3 linked regions of the Danio rerio genome follow. The protein of the gene in region 2 purifies or fractionates together with the protein of the main gene of each other region. This does not show direct contact. Links are inferred from orthologs where the notes say so. Each region holds a gene or a part of one and is shown on either strand. Other genes may lie near its edges. The genes, in order: sugt1, lrch3 and myo6b.

Region 1 (4,150 bases), on a different chromosome or scaffold from region 2:
ATGAAATATTAATAATAAATAATATACCTAGTTAAGAAATAAATAATGAATACATGTAAATATTAATATATATATATATAAAAGAAAAGAAGTCCTTACTGGTGTACTCTTTCAACAGAATATAGGCATAAGCTCGCTGGCAGAGCCATTCAGCATTATCTGCTTTCTCTCCCAATGCTTCATTTAGTTCCTACAATAGGAGAAAGACACATTATTCCTCATGAGAGAGTATTAAGACAAACTACAAGGTAGACGTTATGTTTATTTCTCAAAAGTCTGAATAATAGCATTGCCACAATAGCGGTGTGGTGAATGATGAATCGCAGATATGCAAAGTTGTAAAGGGACACTTATCTCTCACCTTAAAACACATCTAAACAGACATTGCAAGTCAAATCTACTAAATCTATTCCATATTTGCTTGACTAAATTCTGATAGGTTTAGTTTGAAGGGCACCTATTGTGTCTTGGCTGTCCCTAAAATGCCAAGATCATTTATTATACCCTGAAAATTTTTTTAAATGAATTAATTTTCAATAAAAAAATTCATATTTATTAGATTAGGCATCCCCTCATTGAAGTCCAGGACATACCTATCCAAACAGTGGTGGAAAGATTAGTGGAAATCACATTCAAATTTAAAAGTTGCCATTACCTGCCAAAACACTGAGTGCAATTAGAACTAGTAGTCAAATAATTATGAACAAAAATGAAGTATGAGTGAAAAGTATCCCCGCTAGAAATATCCTCCAACCTGGCTGGGGATTTTTACAGCGGTTAGCATTAAGCATTTTGGTGCATTACCACCAACTTCAGCTCCAGAGTGTAAATCAGAGAATATGCTTACAGACTAAAGTAATGGATATAAATAAAGTACGAACAGCTTAAACACATCACGTCTGAATGTGTGCTTCAATATGCGTGACAGTGCATGCATGACACTACGCAACAGGCAGCAGTGAGGAATATTTGCATTTTAAAGCGCCTTATAGGACCTTTAAATACAACCAGAGATGCTGATTTGCTAAGAGTAATCAACGAAACACTGTTACTCCTGTAAACTAAAATGTAAACGACATCAAACGTAAATAAAAGTACACAAATATTATTACTTTTGGTTTTTAAGTAATGCATTACTTTACTCATTACTTGTGATGCACTACGCCCCATACTGGTAATCTGGCAAACTGCTCACAATGTCATAAGTAATTTTAAACGTTTTTCTTTTAAGCTATTTTTAACAGCTGCTACACAAGGAAATATTCTGCTAGACATCAGTAACATTGCGTGTTTAGAGAGAGAGCAAACATCAGACTCAAAGCTGTCAGCAAATGTTATACCAGAATAAGACAAAACAAATAAAAAAATGAATATTTGTAAAACAATAATAAAAAAGTAAAACTATACAAATATATTTTTTTCATTTAATTAATTATATTTAGAATTTTGTGAAATGAAAAAGAGCTAACATTTTAGACATTGGAAAAAATGATGTTTTGTTAGTGTTGATAATGTAGTTTGTGGGAAACTGATGTTGACTTATTATTAGTATTATTTTTATTTATTTATTATAAATATAGTTTGTGAAAAGAAAAACAGAATCTGCAAAAAAAAAAAAAGAAACGGTATCGGCCAAAAAATTGCAATTGGTTCATCTCTAAATCATAGAGTTCTGTGAGTCCGCAAGAGTTTTCTGACCACTGGAGTTGAGGATTTACAACAATCTGTGCAGAGAAGGGTTGTTGCCAGTCACAGCCTACAAAAGCACTGTCAAAATTAGTATTCGTATTTACTTTGTAAAACTTTAGACTTTGATATGAAATTGCATTCCACAGATGTACTGCAACACTACATACCCAATACCGAAAGAAGAAATCCCATTTACCATTTTAAGGCTATTACTATTACATAAAGTACAACAGCATGGATACCAACCCTACCTACGACATCAGATGTGCAAAAAAGATAGCCCAGACATTAAGGGTGGTTAAATGAAAAAGTGGTTAAATGCTCAGTGTTAAGTGTTCAGTGTAAAACGTTCAGTGGTTAAATGATGACATGAATGATCCTTTAAAGATTTTTGAGCACTAAACTTCAACATCTGTAGATTGTGTATTTGCGCATATAAAAATAAGTCCATATTTTTTAGGGCAGTTTATAGCTGTTTTTTTTTCTTTATATTTAATCCAAAACTATGTTTCTTGATTTGATTTGATTTAATTTCCCATGCTGTCCATACTTTTGAATGTTATGTGTCACAATTATATTGTGTTGTTAAAGGAGGGGAAAAAACATAGTTTATTAATAAACTATGTATAATTAAACTAGTAAAGTACAATTACATTGAAAAGCTACTCATTTTTTTGTAATTTTGAGTATTTGTATTATTCAGCAGTAACGTTACATCAGCTCTTAGTAAATTATTACTAAGAGTCATATAAAGTAAGCATAACTGAAGTTCAATAAAAACACGAAACGTTAACGTTAGGCAAACAGAATTATATACATTTAAATAAAAAAGCATACCTCAAGGGCCCTCCTAGGATCCTCATCTATGAAACTGTCAGAGTAACGCCTACAAAAAATAATCACATATAATAACGTATGGCACATAAATTTTATACACACACACCTACATAGATACATGCAAGCATACATAGGCCTACATATATACATACATACAACTGACAAAATTTCGTACCCGCAAGTTGCCATGGGTCCACTCTTCGTACTTCGTACTTCGTCTGAAACCGCAGAAAGTTCGAGAGGGAACAGCGGCGTTAAAGGAAGTAAATAATTGGGCCTGTCAATCCCACACTACTTCCTTGCTCTTCTTCTTCTGATTTTATAGTGGTTGGCAACCAGATTTTTGGAGCATTACCGCCACCATTTGGATTGGAGTGTGGATTAGGAGTTAACAAAAAATAAATAAATAAATTAAATAAATAGGTCATTCCTGGCATTCGGTAATATTTCAGTCCCCCATATTTTTTCAAGTGATTGTTGGCCAAAATGACATTTTAAAAGCAATTTTCATTGATTTATTTTGTACATTATAATGAATAAAAAAATAAATTAATTAATTAAATATATATATATATATATATATATATATATATATATATATATATATATATATATATATATATATATATATATATATATACTGTAAGAAATGAGTCTGCCTCGACCCAACTTCCACTCTAAATGGTGAATTGATGCTCATTTCCCAAAAGGGCTGACTTATGAGAGAAAAGAGAAGTCAACAAGGTCTTGTCTCTGCATTGTTTGAGGTGACTACATCTCAACCAAATGGTAACAATTGTAGAATGGGGATGGGTGTGGTGCACAAAGAACCATCTCATCAATGGTGTTGAAACTGCATTAACATGGAGAGATAGGGAGAACAGCTGGGTCAACAGCCAAGGAGCAACTTCATTAACATCTAAAGGCAACATCAAAAACAGTATAAAGGTTTGAGTTTAAGAATGTTCAGGGTTCATTCTGACTCCGGTGAACCCAAGGTACTGCCATGTATTTTGAGACTGCTATGCTGAATAAACATCTTCATTGAGATTTTCTTCGTCATCATCATTTTTTCTTACAATATATATATATATATATATATATATATATATATATATATATATATATATATATTAAAAGCATTTTTATCTAAAAAATACATATTTCTGTAATCATGTCCCCGAGGCACTTCCTTGAAATTGCATGTAGAAAAAAGTTAATAAAATGCACAAAGTGTCTATATATATATATATATATTGTATTACAACTATTTATTTGTGTTCTTTTCTGGTGATAGATATTTTTTTATTAAAGATTTTTTTCTATTACAAAAAAGCCTACAAAGTTATGTCCCTCAAAATAAGTCACGCTAGCAATTCTTCACCTATAGCATTTTAGACTCCACTCTTAAATGACATCACAGACAGAAAGTGACATCATTCAGCTCTCTTTAACAGCAAATGCAGAAGAAAGCAAGATATATGTTCATTTATTTACATTTTTTGATATTTATTATAGTTAGAAAGGGTAGAAGCTTAACAATTAAACCCCGTAAAACTAAGATGGAATATGATTAATTAATTAATTTATTATTTTTTTTTCCAAACAATATAACATGTTCTTG
Region 2 (3,660 bases):
TTGCAGTTAACACAGCTAACTCTCTCTCTCTCTCCTCATTCCCCTTTAATTTAAACCACATCACACCCCATCAACACCCTCGTTGTGTTTTATTTGACCATCTTCTTCCTCCTGCTGCTCTTGGGTCTGTGTTCAGGATAGTTTGTGTTCAGCGGGCGATGTGTTAGAAGGGGAACTGGTTTGTGTGTTCAGGCTGGTCGAAGCCTTGCTCTCTCTGGCTCCGCCTCCCCTTCGCCACGCCCCTTCTTCCCAGCTGGCTGGATTTGCCCTTTTTTACTTGTCAATCATGTCGCTGCTATGTGCTATCTACTGCCACCTGGTGCCAAGCGTTTAAACCACACTTTAGACCGTTCCAGTTTGTAAGGTTAACAGGATAGCTGGTGTTTATGCACATTTTAGTGTCTCCAAGTGCACCCAATGGACCCTTTTCACATTTCCAGGTTTCTCAGAAGCGGACGTCGGCATTGTTGGGTAAACTTAGAGTGCAGTGAATGGGAGAGTACAACAAATATTGTTTTTAAATGCCTATTTGCTGAAATAATTTAAAAACAAATCCACAATCGTGTTATCAAGGCTTACAGAAAAAGGAAAAACAAATAGTGTAAGACTGATAACGTTAGCCAGAAGAGAGAATAAAGTCAAATTTACAGTCCTGCCCCCATAGAGACTGCATTAGAAACACCAAGCATAAGCATTACTTAATTATTTAATATTCAACACATCATAACAGTCTTGTGAAAAGGGTCTATTGATACTTTGATTAGCCCCGTTTTTTTGGAAGAAGTGTTGCTCTGGAAGAAGAGCTTGATAAATTAACATTTGTACACGTTGTGTGCTCAGAGTGGGAATGATTGATTTGATTACAGGGACTTTTGCAAAATGTGTGAGTAATTTCTATTTAAAGATATTGAACTACAGTCAGTTAGATGATGTTATTCATACGATCAATATTTATTTGATCAAAAACACAGAAAGAGCTGTAAAATTGGGATATATTATACTACATTTTATTAGTTTTCCGTTTACAGTGCTCAACATGTATGAGTACATCCCTCACAAATCTCTCTTTTAGATTAATCATTTCTATGAGAAGCTTTACAGTGTTATATCTGTGGATATGTACATTAGATTAGTCAGTACTGAGGTCAATTCTGGAGCTAATCTAACAAAATAACGTATGATAATAGTCCAAAATGAGTACACTGAAATGTATATGTTAGGGACAAATATTAAATAAAAAGTAGTTTAAATTTTGTAGTTTGTAATTTTTTTCCTTAATATTTTGCATGAATTTAATTGTATTATATTTCTATTTCTAAATTTCTTAATTATTTTATTAAATATATCTGTTTAGTAGTAGATCTGTTTTGTTCAAATGCACCAAAATATGACTTAACTTCAATGAGAAATGGATAAAAATGTTCATTTTCTAAATGGGGTGTACTCGTTTATGTTAAGCACTGTTTTAAATTCTAATTTATTCCTGTGGCTCAAAGCAGAATTTTCAGCATTATTACTCCAGTCTTATGATCACATGATCCTTCTGAAATCTTTCTTATATGCCAATTGTCTGCTTTAAGAAGCATTTAATCAATGTTAAAAACACTTCTCCTTGGATAGTATCTTAACACAATATTAAGAGTTAAAAGCATCTGTGTTGAGAAACCTATTTGAATAAGCTTGTTATTTAAATTATCCAAGTCCAAAATATACCTGTATGGCTTTTTGTTTTCATATATCATACATTTAAGTAATATGACATGCAATAGAACCATTTTTTCCCTAACTTTCAGCATCACAAATCATTTATATGTTATGTTTTTTATGGGTACGCTGTAAAAAGTAGTTCAGTTCATATTCATATTAATAATATTCATTTTACAAGTCATTTAATCTTACGTTGCATTAAAAATTACATTACTTACATTTTCTTTAAACCATAAGTTAAATCTAGTAGAAAAGTTGAAAAATAATGAGCAATAAGTGGAATAATAAAACGTTTTCATGGCTAATATTCGATTAACTTGATGTCTGAGCTCAGTTTAATGCAATGAAAGTTAAAAATGAAATTTGATTCAGCATAAAATTGATGACAATTACACTTTATTTATGAAATTGTCAATTAAATACAACCCAAGTTGACTAAAAAATGGACAACAAGAATAACACGAAGACAAAAATAGTTTAAAAGCTTTTATGTAATCAAAAGCCAGTAAAATTATAATTAAAATACAAAATCATATGTCCAAGGGTCAGTGTATCTTTTGGTCATTGGATTTTCATTTTAGAAACAGATATTGAAGAACGAAAAAAACGAGTCGTTTTTTAAATTTTTATTTTAAAATAAAAAAACGAAAATTGAAATTCAATGTGTTTTTAATTTTTGTTTTTAAAATTTAAAGCAAAAAAAAAAACAAAATAAACTCGTTTTTCTTTTTCATGGTAAAAAACAGAAAAGCAGAACTCTAAAATAATTTATTTTTCATTTTTTATTTCAAATAACAAAAAATAAAATCAACAGAAAAAAAAATGAATAAAGGCTTGTTTTTATATATTCTGAAACCAGATAGGCCAACTCATATAGGGTGATGCAATGCTCATTTGCTAGCCTACTATAGGCTATTGTTGTTTTTCCACTTAATAATGTTATAAAAGGTGTTTTCTTGTTATAACAGGATTTTAATGTAATAGCAGTAGGGCAGGTTATTATTAAAATAATTTCAATTTATGTATTAAAAATCTGCTATATTTGCACATGGCTATATGAAATTATAGATAGACCCACTGTAGCGGGGTGATAACGCACGCACAACTCATCTGCAAGCTTAGTAATAATCAGTTTTTAAAAGACACAGGATGGTTATAATGATGTTTGTTCAGCATGCCTCCTTTCAGATAAAATTAGCTGTCAACTTTTATTTTAAAATATTATTACGTATTGAAATGTGCATAACGAACAACTGCCTCCCTCACCTGAAATGATTGGTGGTCAAACTTCGGGATGTAGAAGCAATATGGTTTTAACAATATTAAAACTTTATTTTCAGAAAAGTGTTCAGTAAAGCAACGTAATGCTTGCATGTAATGTCAAAATAAAGATTGTTTCATTTACAACATGCTAACAAAAAATAAATATATAGCCTATAATTGGCCCTCATACAAAAATATGTTGTCTTAATGAGGATAATATGTCTTAACAAAATCCAGTTATAACAAGAAAATACCTTTTATAACATTATTAGGTGGGAAAAAATAATAGCCTAGAGCAGGTCAGCATTGCATCACCGTAAATGAGTTGGCCTATCTAGTTTTGGAATATATAAAAACAAGCCTTTATTTGTTTTTGTTTTCTGGTGATTTTATTTTTTGTTATTCGAAAAAAAAAATGAAAACCAAATAATTTTTTTAATTAATTTTTTCAGTTTTTACCATGAAAAAAAAAAAAAAAAAGAAAATTCAAAATTCAAAAGCTAAAATCAAAAAACTTATTAAATTTCAATTTTCATCTTTAATTTTAAAACAAAAATCGACTCGTTTTTTTCTTTTTTCAATATCTGTTTCTAAAATGAAAATCCAATGACCAAAAGATGCACTGACCCCCAAGGCACTCAAAGAAAGTACAAATTAATTGTTAATACATTTTAATAAAGTAATTAATTA
Region 3 (3,660 bases), on a different chromosome or scaffold from region 2:
CCGCCAAAATATCAGTGGATTGGCTTCTCAACAACTCTGTGAATGTCCTTGAGTGGCCCAGCCAGAGCCCAGACCTTAATCATATTGAACATCTCTGGAGAGTTCTGAAAATGGCTGTACATCGTCGCTTTCCATCCAACTTGATAGAGCTTGAGAGGTACTGCAAAGAGGAATGGGCAAAAATTCCCAAAGACAGGTGTGCCAAGCTTGTGCCATCATATTCAAAAAGACTTGAGGCTGTAATTGCTGCCAAAGGCTCATCAACAAAGTATTGAGCAAAGGCTGTGAACACGTGTGATTTTTCAGGTTTTTATTTGTAATAAATTTTAAACAATTTCAAAAAATCTTTTTCACATTGTCTTCATGGGGTATTTTGTGTAGAATTTTGAGGAAATAAATGAATTTAATCTACTTTGGAATAAGGCTGTAACATAAAAACTGTGGAAAAAGTGAAGCACTATGAATACTTTCCGCATGCACTGTATAGAAACAAAATTATACAAAACGATCTTGTTATATAGATATTTAAACGCATAAATAACTTGTATAATACACATGTTTTAAATCTAGCATAAATAAAAATTTTCTCAAATACATGTATGTGTATTAATACATGCATAATAAATTTAGACAGTACACCTACTTAAATTATGTCAAAGCAAACTTTTTTTTTGTTACGACAAATTTTTGCCCAGCACTAACTAAAAGCTTATTTATTTCGAATTTAGCATGTGTATATTTTAAGACACTAAATGTTTTTGTTGTGCATGCTTAAAAATGCAAATATTCCTGCAATCAAGCGCACTAAGAAAGGCTGTTTGCTTAAGTCATGGCTGTTAGATAGCTTTCATTGCACCAATTACATGACAAAAAATGTCTTCTAGTCTTGTTAAATGATTTCCAGGTTTTCCTGACACACAATGTACAGGAAACTGACCCGGAAGCTGTCGGGGGAGTTGAGATGGAGCATGTTCCTGATGTCCTCTGACGCCCCTGCGCACAGTCTATAAAATATATGATAGTTTCGCTCTTCTTGACTCTGCATGCAAATCCGAGACTTCTCCAGCAGATAGTGAGAGACAAAACCGCCCACAACTGCATTCTGGACACGGTTCACAAGACACAACACACATAGTTAATAATACCTACGTGAAATCTTGTACACTCACACTCTTGTCTTTAGACTATAAAACTAAATTCACCTTCTCATTAAAATGAATTTCCACAAACTTTCCAAAGCGGCTGCTGTTGTTGTTCCTGACCGTCTTTGCATTTCCAAAAGCTTCAAGCAAGGGGTTGGCTGAACACAGCAGAGAAATATACAGTATGTACTGTAAAAACAAACATTTTGCATCAGATGCAAAAAAAGAACATGCAGTACTGTGCTAGACACTTACCTTCAACAATCCTCTCATCTATATCTTGGCCTGTGCCGTAAGATGTGGTTAAATACCTGAAATAATAATAAAAAAAAAACACTTACAGTATTAAAACATGATTACATTAATAATCAAACTGGCCCAAAACAACCCCCAAACTAATTTGCAAAACAGTAACATTATTGAGGACTATAAAATGTTTTTGATCATATTTTATACAAACCGTATTTCAATTAACCAAGGTATTTTAAGTAATAAAGTATTTATTTGATCAATATACAGTAAATATAGTAATACTTTTAATTTTAAACAACATTGTAATTCTATTTTTTATCGTTTAATGTAACATTGTTTAAAATGTTTTCTACTGACTGGTGCTCCAAAGCTTACAGCAGACCTTTTCCACCAGATGCCGTGCCATCTTTGGCGTCTCACAAATTACATCTGCTCTACTTCAGGCAATGCAAGAGTCATTGATGCAAAGCATGGTGGTGGCTAAAAGACTAGTGCTTAACAATTGGAAATCACCTTTATTGGTGAAGAACTGGATTTCCGACATAATATCTGTTGTTCAGAAGGAGAGACTCTGATTTTTAAGAACTATTCGATTCAATTCAATTCAATTCATCTTTATTTCTATAGCACTTTAACAATGTAGACTGTGTTAAAGCAGCTTCAAATAGAAGATTATAGACTAGCTCTATAAGAAAAAAATTGGCTACTTGGGGTCAGTTAGGTTAATTAGGCAGGTTTGGGCAAGTCATTGTTTAATGCCGGTTTGTTCTGTAGACTAGCTTAAAGGAGCTAATAATTTGACCTTAAAATGGATATAAAAAAATGTAAAACTGCTTTTATTCTTGCCAAAATAAAACAAATAAGACTTTCGCCAGAAGAAAAAACATTATCAGACATACTGTGAAAAAAAAGTTCAAAGGAGGGGGTAATAATTCTGACTGTATGGCATTAAAATAAATAAATACAAATGTTTTCTACTGTGTTTAAAAATGTATTTTATTCATGTGATGGTAAAGCTCTTCAATGTCACATAATCACATGAAATCCCTACAAAATGTTAATTTATTGCTCACAAAATCTGATTTTCAATGTTCTCTATTTTTAATAAAAATGTTCAAAACAATAATTTACGATAGAGATTAACTGTAAGATAATAACTGTCTGCATGGTCACTTTGGATCAATTAAATGCATCATTATGCTTAAAAAGTATTGATTTCTTAAAAATATACAATACAAGTTTATTTTGGCATGATTCGTGTGTGTACTGTGTATATTTATTAAGTATATAAACACACATGCATGCATAACCTTGAGAACCCGTTTATTTATATTAAGTTATGAAATAATTTTGTGTATGAGACAAATTGTATATAAATTTAAATATCTATTAAACTAAAAAAAATGTTTGAATAGTTTATGTATGTGTGTATCATATACACGATAAATATATATATATAATACATACAAATATATTATGTCAATACAAACTTTTTTTTGTCCATGCGATTAATCGCAATTAATCTTTGCCCAGCCCTATTATTAATGTGCGTCAACATGATTTAAACCCAACCGTTGCTATTGTTAGCAACAAAATGTAAATACTGATTTATATTTTTAAAGGAGCAGTATGTAAGTTTGACACCCAGTGGTTCAACTAGGTATTGCACTCCTGGTTCAAAACACATGCAAGAGCAGGTTGCCAGATTGACGACACCAACAAAGGCTGGTTTAAGTGGTGTTCTAAATAAAAGCAATGACACGTGATAGAAGGAATATTTTACATTTTAAAAGGAGTTTTTGTTCCAACCAACACATGAAACATGTATTTTAGCAATAGCTTCTATTTCTTGGAGCTGAACAACAGAAAACTGACAATGAATAAAGCATATTAGGTGTGCCCAAGGTGATCAGTGTTAAATGCTAATAATAAGAGTTTAAATGCAATTGTACATGACATGTATTGCCCTACTACTGAAAGCAGCAGCAGATATTTCACCTCAAATCTTGAAAATAAAATAAACCGTTTGAAATTGAACTTAAGATCTGCGATTCAATGGAAGCCCACCAATATCAGTGATTCAGCATGTACATTTAATAATGTTTAAGAGGTTTAATGTGTATTAATTAGATCATAAACCATACCATTTTGTTGGAGTGCAGTGACTGCACTCTGTGCTTCTGATGGCTGTATTTAAATTTCTGTTGTGTTTTGTTTGGTGAAAACAGCCAAAATGCTTATCACTTATCTTGTCAGTGACTGCACT

What was found.
Region 1: the proteins of lrch3 (region 2) and sugt1 purify together in Homo sapiens (co-immunoprecipitation; 3 studies listed by BioGRID and IntAct, counting the BioPlex papers as one, with this or other methods). This does not show direct contact. The link is inferred for Danio rerio from reciprocal best matches to the Homo sapiens genes LRCH3 and SUGT1.
Region 3: the proteins of lrch3 (region 2) and myo6b purify together in Homo sapiens (co-immunoprecipitation; 3 studies listed by BioGRID and IntAct, with this or other methods). This does not show direct contact. The link is inferred for Danio rerio from reciprocal best matches to the Homo sapiens genes LRCH3 and MYO6.

The regions. Positions count from the first base shown.
Region 1 is NC_133176.1:29,637,491-29,641,640, reverse strand, and holds the start of sugt1 (protein SGT1 homolog), read right to left. Parts: upstream 2,820-4,150; 5' UTR 2,716-2,819; coding exon 2,702-2,715; intron 2,576-2,701; coding exon 2,527-2,575; intron 191-2,526; coding exon 100-190; intron 1-99. UniProt on the Homo sapiens protein: May play a role in ubiquitination and subsequent proteasomal degradation of target proteins.
Region 2 is NC_133193.1:3,767,955-3,771,614, reverse strand, and holds the end of lrch3 (DISP complex protein LRCH3), read left to right. Parts: intron 1-136; coding exon 137-334; 3' UTR 335-3,148; downstream 3,149-3,660. UniProt on the Homo sapiens protein: As part of the DISP complex, may regulate the association of septins with actin and thereby regulate the actin cytoskeleton.
Region 3 is NC_133192.1:38,666,562-38,670,221, forward strand, and holds part of myo6b (myosin VIb), read right to left. Parts: intron 1,454-3,660; coding exon 1,398-1,453; intron 1,301-1,397; coding exon 1,203-1,300; intron 1,103-1,202; coding exon 938-1,102; intron 1-937. UniProt on the Homo sapiens protein: Myosins are actin-based motor molecules with ATPase activity. Unconventional myosins serve in intracellular movements. Myosin 6 is a reverse-direction motor protein that moves towards the minus-end of actin filaments.